Oryctolagus cuniculus: one gene and its partner. The protein of the gene in region 1 purifies or fractionates together with the protein of each later gene. This does not show direct contact. Links are inferred from orthologs where the notes say so. Each region holds a gene or a part of one and is shown on either strand. Other genes may lie near its edges.

What was found. Proteins that work in one complex are often made in the same cells at the same time.
Region 2: the proteins of RB1 (region 1) and KDM5B purify together in Homo sapiens (affinity purification with western blotting; 3 studies listed by BioGRID). This does not show direct contact. The link is inferred for Oryctolagus cuniculus from reciprocal best matches to the Homo sapiens genes RB1 and KDM5B.

What each region holds. Positions count from the first base shown.
Region 1 is NC_091440.1:67,324,929-67,329,276, forward strand, and holds the start of RB1 (retinoblastoma-associated protein), read left to right. Parts: upstream 1-1,444; 5' UTR 1,445-1,642; coding exon 1,643-1,776; intron 1,777-4,348. UniProt on the Homo sapiens protein: Tumor suppressor that is a key regulator of the G1/S transition of the cell cycle. The hypophosphorylated form binds transcription regulators of the E2F family, preventing transcription of E2F-responsive genes.
Region 2 is NC_091444.1:18,514,430-18,518,077, forward strand, and holds part of KDM5B (lysine-specific demethylase 5B), read right to left. Parts: intron 3,015-3,648; coding exon 2,820-3,014; intron 741-2,819; coding exon 559-740; intron 458-558; coding exon 333-457; intron 1-332. UniProt on the Homo sapiens protein: Histone demethylase that demethylates 'Lys-4' of histone H3, thereby playing a central role in histone code. Does not demethylate histone H3 'Lys-9' or H3 'Lys-27'. Demethylates trimethylated, dimethylated and monomethylated H3 'Lys-4'.

The DNA of each region.
Region 1 (4,348 bases):
GCTGTGGGCTGGGATAGCAGTAGAAGGTGGCCCAAGTACTCAGGCTTCTATACTTGTATGGGAAACCCAGAAGAAGCTCCTGGATTCGGACTGGCCCAGCTCCAGCCGTTGTGGTCATCTGGGGAGTGAACCAGTGGATGGAAGACCTTTCTCTCTGCCTCTCCCTCTCTTTGTAACTCTACCTTTCAAATAAATAATTTTTTTTAAATTAGACAATCTATTAATATAAATAAATACCAAGAGACAGATACACAGCTTCTCAGCCAGAGTTTTAAGGTGGTGGCTCCACTAAGTTCTTTGCTGACTTTGTGCCTTTGCACTTCCTGCTTGGCTTCTTCATTGACAGAACCTAACGGAGAAGTGGAGTGCAAGCCTTCTGCCTTCCTTTTGCTCTGTGATTTTGGTCAAATTAATTAACTTCTCCAAGCCTGCGTCTCCCTTCACAACGTGAAAGGCTAACACCAGGCGGTATACCTTAGAAAGTTCGTGGAAAAACGGAATTAACAGCCAAGTTTATTTGGGCGTGAACACTTTTGAAACCCATGCCTAGTTTTTGAGAATGTGTATTTTCGACGAACTTTTTGAAGATCCCCAATACGCACGGATTTCAAAACGTTTTTGGCACACGAATAAATCCCTCTTTTAATGTCATTTTCATGAACTTTCTTAAGTGCACTTGTACCCTTTCCCCGCCCTCCTTTTAAAGGGCCATTTCGGAGGATTCCAGATAATTACAGAAGGTGCTCCACACAGTCTGTGGTACACAGCAAGCGCTCCTTAAATAATGGGTTGGCCTAGGAAACTTCTATTCAATTGCCACTGCCCCTCCAAAAACCTCCCTTTGACGTCTGGATGGTGCCGCCTCTTTTTACATCACCATTAAGACCTTCTATAAGCTAGGGTCTGTTCATGGCCACAGCCGCGGCCTCTCCACCCAGCGATCCCCCCAAAAAGGGCAGCTATTGTCTTGCACTGCCCAAGCGCCAGAAGCCAGCAGAGTTCCACACCTACGCGGTGCTCCCCATTTGTTGTTGTTTGGCCAAAGATGCGAGGCTAAACCGAGCGGGCGGGAGGAGAGAGGCGGGGAGGGACGGCGCCGCCCACGGAGGAGGAGGAGGAGGAGGGTGAGGGTGAGGAGAGGGAGAGGGAGAGGGGCGTGCCCGCCCAGGGTGCCCTCGCCCAGCGCTCCCCGCCCAGACCCAGAGATAGCGACGCGGCCCCCGTGTCACCCACCGGGTTCTTTGTAAAGCCGCGACACCGGCCCACCGGGGGGCAGTTTCGGAGAAAACCACGTTCGGGCAGCACCCAGGGCTCCCAGCGGGGTGCCTGGACCCGCGCCGGCCTTCCCGCGCGACCTCGCGCCCCGGCCCGCGCACCGCCTGGCGCCCCGGTTCCCCCCAGACGCCGGCGGGCCCGAGAGCCTCGCGGACGTGACGCCGCGGGCGGAAGTGACGTTTTCCCGCGGTTGGACGCGGCGCTCGGTTGCCGGGCGGGGGAGGGCGCGTCCGGTTTTTCTCAGGGGACGTTCAAATTATTTTTGTAACGGGAGTCGGGAGGGGACGGGGCGTGCCCCGAGGTGCGCGCGCGCCGTCAGTTTTCGGCGCTCCTCCTCAGCTCGCTGCTCCTGCCTTGAGAAGGCGTCATGCCGCCCAAAACCCCGAGAAGAGCAGCTGCCGCCGCCGCCGCCGCGGTGGAACCCCCGGCGCCGCCGCCGCCGCCGCCTCCTGAGGAGGACGCGGAACAGGACAGTGGTCCTGAGGACTTGCCTCTGGCCAGGTGAGCGGGCACCGCCGCCGCTGCGGCCGGCACGCGAGGAGGGAGTCCCGGGGGTGCGGCGGGCGGGCGGGCGGGAGCCGCGGCGGCTGGGCGCGGGCGCATCCTCGCCGGGGTCGGTCCCGGCGGCGGGATGGTCCGAGGGTCCCTCCCTGCCTCCTCCACGGCAGCGGAGCGTCTGCGGGGCGGTGACAGAGATCCGGGATCGTGAGCGACGGGGAGAGGGCTGCTGGAGGGGTCTCGGCTCCAGCTTGACAGGTGTCGGGCGGGTGGGGCTCGGGTCCCTGAGCGAAGTGACAGGTGCAGTCTCCTCTAGCGAGACAGCGGCTCGCAGCCGACGGCTGATTACCAGCCCTCATGCAGCGAAAAAAAAATTCTTTTTTAAAGTACAAAAATGGTACGTGTGTTGGCGAGTTTTTCTCCAGTGGAGATCTGGAGTCCTCGGTGGTCGCCTGACTTTCTGTTTCGATCCCCTGCGACGCAACAGTTGGAAGTTGTTTTTTTTGTTTTTTTTTTTTTTTTTTCTTCTTTCCTCTGGGCGTGCGCTACCTCCGAAGCTCAGAACTGGGAGAGGCCCGGGAAGGCCTTGGACGTGAAGGGCAGGGTGTTAGGTGTGAATTGCCCACGGGCTACACGGCCGCGAGGCGTTGTGGGGTTCCCTAAAACAATGTGTGGAGGCCTCGAGGATTTAAAGCCGGCTGTAGACACTGGTGGAGCCTAACTTTCTTTACACGAACTGGCCTCTGGGCTAAAGTTTCGTTGAGACATTTAGTGAAGCGCTTGAAAGTTACCAAACTTTCCATTTTCTTTTTCTTCTTCTTCTTCTTTTTTTTTTTCTTCTGATGGAAGAACTCGCTTGCGTGTTTGCGAGGCCTCCGCATGCCTCGTTATTACATTTTGCCTTTCACTTTGAGCCAGCAGGGATGCTTGGTGTCCCCTCTTTTTGGTTTTGTTTGGGTTTGGTATGAAATTAATGGTGTTCTTCTGCTCACCTGGAACTCCGCTGTCACCCCTTCACCCCTTAGCGAGTGGAATCTCTACGTTTAAGCAAGTCCTCATGGACGCAGTGCTACGTGACAGAAAGATGCTTATTGTATTGCAACATCTTGATCGTGAGGCTTTACAGTGAAGTTGCTAGTACAGAACGGGCAGAGTTAGGATTATTGTCAGTGCTTGTTCTAGCCATTGCCCGGGAATGCCGCTGGTTTTCCAGTGGCACTCCCTCCCCAGCTCTAGTCTATCACCAAGTCTTGTTTTTGTGCCCCCTGAATAGTATCTTTCCTTCCACTCCATGGAATCTTAGCTGAATTCAGACAGAATTGTAAAACATCGAAATAGAATTTTGGAAATGGACTCTGGAAAGCTATTAAAAATTAACATATTTAAATGGACTATCTTACAACGTGTCAGTTCAAAATAATACTCACTAGTGAAAACAAAAACAAAGCCAGGTCTGAGGGATATGCTGGGAGAAGATATCACTTTAGTTTTTGATTAAATGCCATTGTACTTGTCCATGAAAAGAGCAGTAATGTATGCCTGTTCTAAAGAAGCACTTTCAATTATTGTATGGTAACAAGAAATGAAGTTCTGGCCGTCCCCTGGGAGAAGAAGGCTTTTGTTTCTTTCATTTTTCATCCAGCACAGTATACAGGCAGACCTCGGAGAAATGGCAGATTCCATGCCAGACCACTGCAATAAAGTGAATATCGCAATAAAGCGAGTAACACGAAGTTTTTGGTTTCTTTATGCATTTAAACTTATTTTTGTACTATACTATAGTCTCTCAAGTGTGCATTAGCACTGTGTCTCAAAGCACAATGTACATTCGTTAATTTAAAAATATTTTATTACGAAAAATTGCTAGCAACCACCCAAGCTGTTGAAAAAATGATGCTGATAGACTTGCTATGTGCAAGGTTCCCAAAACCTTCTATTAAAAAAAAAATGCAGTATCTGTAATGTGCAGTAAAGCAAAATACAAGAAAATGAAATATGCTTGTATTCTTAAATGATGGAATTATAAAAAATTTTCCTACAAGTCAAGGATATACAAGATATCATTTTGTTCTTGATTATTCATACCCATAAAGATTTTCATTAACATAGACCCCCTAACTATAGATTCACTACAGCCATGTACCACTTAACAGAAGGGTCGTGTTCTGAGAAATGCACTGTTAGATGATGTCGTCATTGTGTGAATATCATAGAATGTACTTAACATAAACCTTGATTATCTTGCTCAATCACCCCAAATGGCCTCTTGATGCATCAAGATGTGATAAATGTAAAATATATGTGACTGTTGCAAGTGTAACACAATATACTGTTTTATAGTAAACTTTTGTTTTTATAAGTAGAAGGAATATCTAAAATAACAACACAAAAGCATAGTCTAGTAAATCCCTAAACCAGTAGTATAGTCTTTTATAATTATTAAATATTCTTTTATATAAATACCTATGAATGGCAGCACAGTAGGTTTGTTTCCACCTGCATCACCCCAAACATGTGATTAATGCTTTGCACCAGGATATTAGGATTATCATAGAATTATCAGGTAATGGGAATT
Region 2 (3,648 bases), on another chromosome or scaffold:
GATGGGAAGAAAAGCAGTGACTTTCAAAGGTACTAAGTACAGTACAAGGACTTTAATTTTGGAATTCAAAAGTGATTAACTAGCATGTCATGCTGTCTTTTTCATTAAGACGTAATTTTTTTTTTTTTTTTTTAATTTTCTAAGGTTCTACATGAAATGCGAGGTTTTGCCTCCTCCACTTCTGGTCTAAAACCTTCTCTGCCGAGCTGCAAGGAAGGGTTAGCCAAGGTTAAGGCCAGGCTGGCTTCACGTAGTCCATTCTGCTGATAGCTGGCGACATCCCAATCAGCTTCAACTGCTGACCCCCAAGTCACACTTTCTGCACCACCTACTTTTCTTCTTGTTGATTTTTGCCTCCAAAGCTTCATTCACAGTTAAGGCCCACTCATTGTAAGACTCTGCTCGAAGCTTCAGTGCATTCATCATGGGGTAGAGGTCATCCAGAGTGTATCTATATCTGGAACAGAATCCCAGGCTTAGCTTTCAGAGAGACGTACCCCACCTCACGTTCCAGGCCTAGAACAGCAGCGCCACTGTGAAATCATTCTTCCTACTCACCGCAACTTGTACTTATGAGGAGGACAGGAACACAACTCCTTGACGTGGTGCAAGCACACGAGCAGGCCAGGTTTACAAGAACAGGAGATGGCAGACATGAAGCATGTAGTTTTACATTTTACACACTGACGCTCATCATCTGGCAACAGCTCAAAATCCATTCTTTCTGAATCGATCACTCCCTAGAATAAAGGTTACTTTAAGAGGCTTCTAAAGAACAGTAAAACTCCCAGCCCCAAGACAAGCTTGCAGGAGGTGAATTAAAAAAAAAAAAAAAAAAAACAACTTAACCCAAGTAGAGATGCATGATTACAGATGTGTAGGACACAAAGTAACAATGACCCAGCAAACAGAAGCAAGTGAGTAGACTTCACTCACGTAGGGAGAATCCCTTTTTAGACAAGGTAGGGTGGGCTTTATGTTTGGCCATTTTGGTCTGAGTATGACAACAGCTAAGAGGACTCTTGGACGACCGAGGTTAGTTGTCTATCCCACTGCAAGCCAGCCATCTGCCATCTCTGTATTCTGGGTACAGATCAAAGGGAATGTACATGCTTTTGACTTCCAAGGAAATACTATGTAGGGCTTGAGGGACGCTGCTGGAGAAACTATGAAAAAGTACAAAAATGAGGAGGAAGACAGGCAGCCAGAAGACCACATGCATAAACAATGCGATGGAGCAGGGTCTCAGCCTGTTGCACAAGTTTGCTGAAGGGCTGTCATCTGAGTCGGTTAGGGCATTTCTGCACTAGCAAAGCCTCAAGTCGCAAGAAGGATTTCCTAAACGAAACGCTGTGAGGAAACATTTCAATCATACTTTGCACCATTGGACCCCTGTGGGATATTCCTTCGTCATTCAAAACCAAACTGGTACTGCCTTTTCTCCTGGTCTGGAACCGGATCCAAATCCAGCCCTGGGAATGCTGGTCCTAATCAAATCCGCCATGAAGCACTGTGTTTTAACCTTTTCACGTGTGACAGTTACAGACAAGAGTAAGGAAACACCCATGAGTGGAGTGTGGCTTTCATTTACAACTGAACACAAGGCCTTGATGGAATGGAGATATTTGGAATTCCTGTTTAAAGTGAGATTAAGGACTAACTCCAGAGATTTTAGCTGGGAGTGACTCAAGCAGTTTATACCCAATTTTCATCTGTGAATTCCACATCTGGTTATCCTTCTTCTAAAATGAGCGCCTGTTCCTGATGAAAGCCACTGAAGCTTCCTGGGCACAGCTGTTCCCACCTGTGAGACACAGGGAAGGCGGGCTCCAGAGAGCAACACTCTAGATTCTAGAGGTATGTCCAAGAGTAATTCAAAACGTTCCATAAAATGGAATCAGATTTTTTTTTTTTTTTAAAACCTTCGAGGGGCTGATGCTATGGTACAACAGGCTAAGCCACCACCAGTGACGCCAGCAACCCGTACTGGAGAGCTGGTTCAAGTCCTGGCCGCTGTGCTCCCTGCTGATGTGCCCGGGAAAGCAGAAGATGGCTCAAGTGCTTGGGCCTCTGCCACCCAAATGGGAGACCCAGATGGAGCTCAGGCTCCAGGCTCCTAACTTCAACCTGTTCCAGTCCCAGCTGTTGTGACCATTTGGGGAGTGAACCAGTGAATGGAAGATCGATCTCTCTCTCCCTGTCTCACCATATCTCTCTGTAGCTCTGGCTTTCAAATAAATACATTTTGTTTTTTTAAGATTTATTTTATTTGAAAGACAGAGTTACACAGAGGTAGAGACGAAGTCTTCCATCTGCTGGTTCACTCCCCAAATGACTGCAATGGCCAGAGCTGAACTGATCTGAAGCCAGGAGCCAGGAACTTCTTCCAGGTCTCCCATGCGGGTACAGGGGCCCAATGACTTGGGCCATCTTCTACTGCTTTCCCAGGCCACAGTAGAGAGCTGGATCAGAAGTGGAGCAGCCAGGACTAGAACTGGTGCCCAGATGGGATGTGGACGCTGCAGACCAGGCCTTTAGTCTGTTGTACCACAGCACCAGTCCCTAAGGACTTGTTTTTTTTTTTTTTTTTTTTTTTTTTTAAAGGCAAAGCATTGGAACAGACATTTCATGGAAAACAGGTTCAGGTGGCAGATAATTTAGATAGTCAATGAAAATTAAAACTACTATAAGATTATTATACACCCACCAGAATGGCCATGAAGGGAATTACATACATTAGGAAATGATGACACTAAGGTGCATAACAACTTTATTATGTAATACCCAATGACACGAAATTGGATTTCCAAAAATCTTACCAATTTACGGACAGTTTCCCTCAGAGCCTTCTCATCCTCGATCATGATGGCCATGTCCTTCTGAACAGTTGAAGCCACTACCACGTCCAGTACATCCGCCTTGGAAGCCATCTTGCAAATCATCTCATCGTGGGAGAACACGCAGTAACGGTGAAGCAGGCGGTAATGCTCCACGCACTGCCGGCCTAGCGGGAGCTGGGGCAAAAGACAGAAGGAAACATCAGTTCATCTTTCCTCCACTTGCAAAGACTTATGGGTTGTACCACTGAACTACCAAATATCACACTCCATGGTAGCACTTATTTATCAACCCTAAAATCAGAATGCCAGAATCCCAGCTAAGTCCAGGCCTTATTATCTTACCCTGCAAAGATACGACAGATTAGGTCACTCAGGTAAAAATCAGTGCTGTAACAATGTGTTAGTGTCCACACCAGTGTGGCATCTGTTTGGAAACTGCATTTGCACATTTCCTGAAACAACTGTAAAACGCACTATCACGAACTTAGAATCTATCAGCCTTAACAGCACACACACTCAATCCTGACAGGTCTCTCCAGGCAAGTGAAAAACAAGAGCAATGTCAAAATCGAACTTTTTAACTAACTGAAACCAAACGACACGACGACAGCCGTCCGACAGCCGAGCTGTAGATCATGAGAACAGGTGCCACACAATGCGGCGTCCTGCCCTGGATCAGTTACCACTGCAGAGAGACCCTGAGCTTCAGCCAGAGGCCATCAGCAGCCTCGCTCCATGAAGAAAGGCTCACCACGCCGGGGAGGGGCGGCCCACCTCAGCAGGGTGCTTAGTGTGTGCGTGCTGCCAG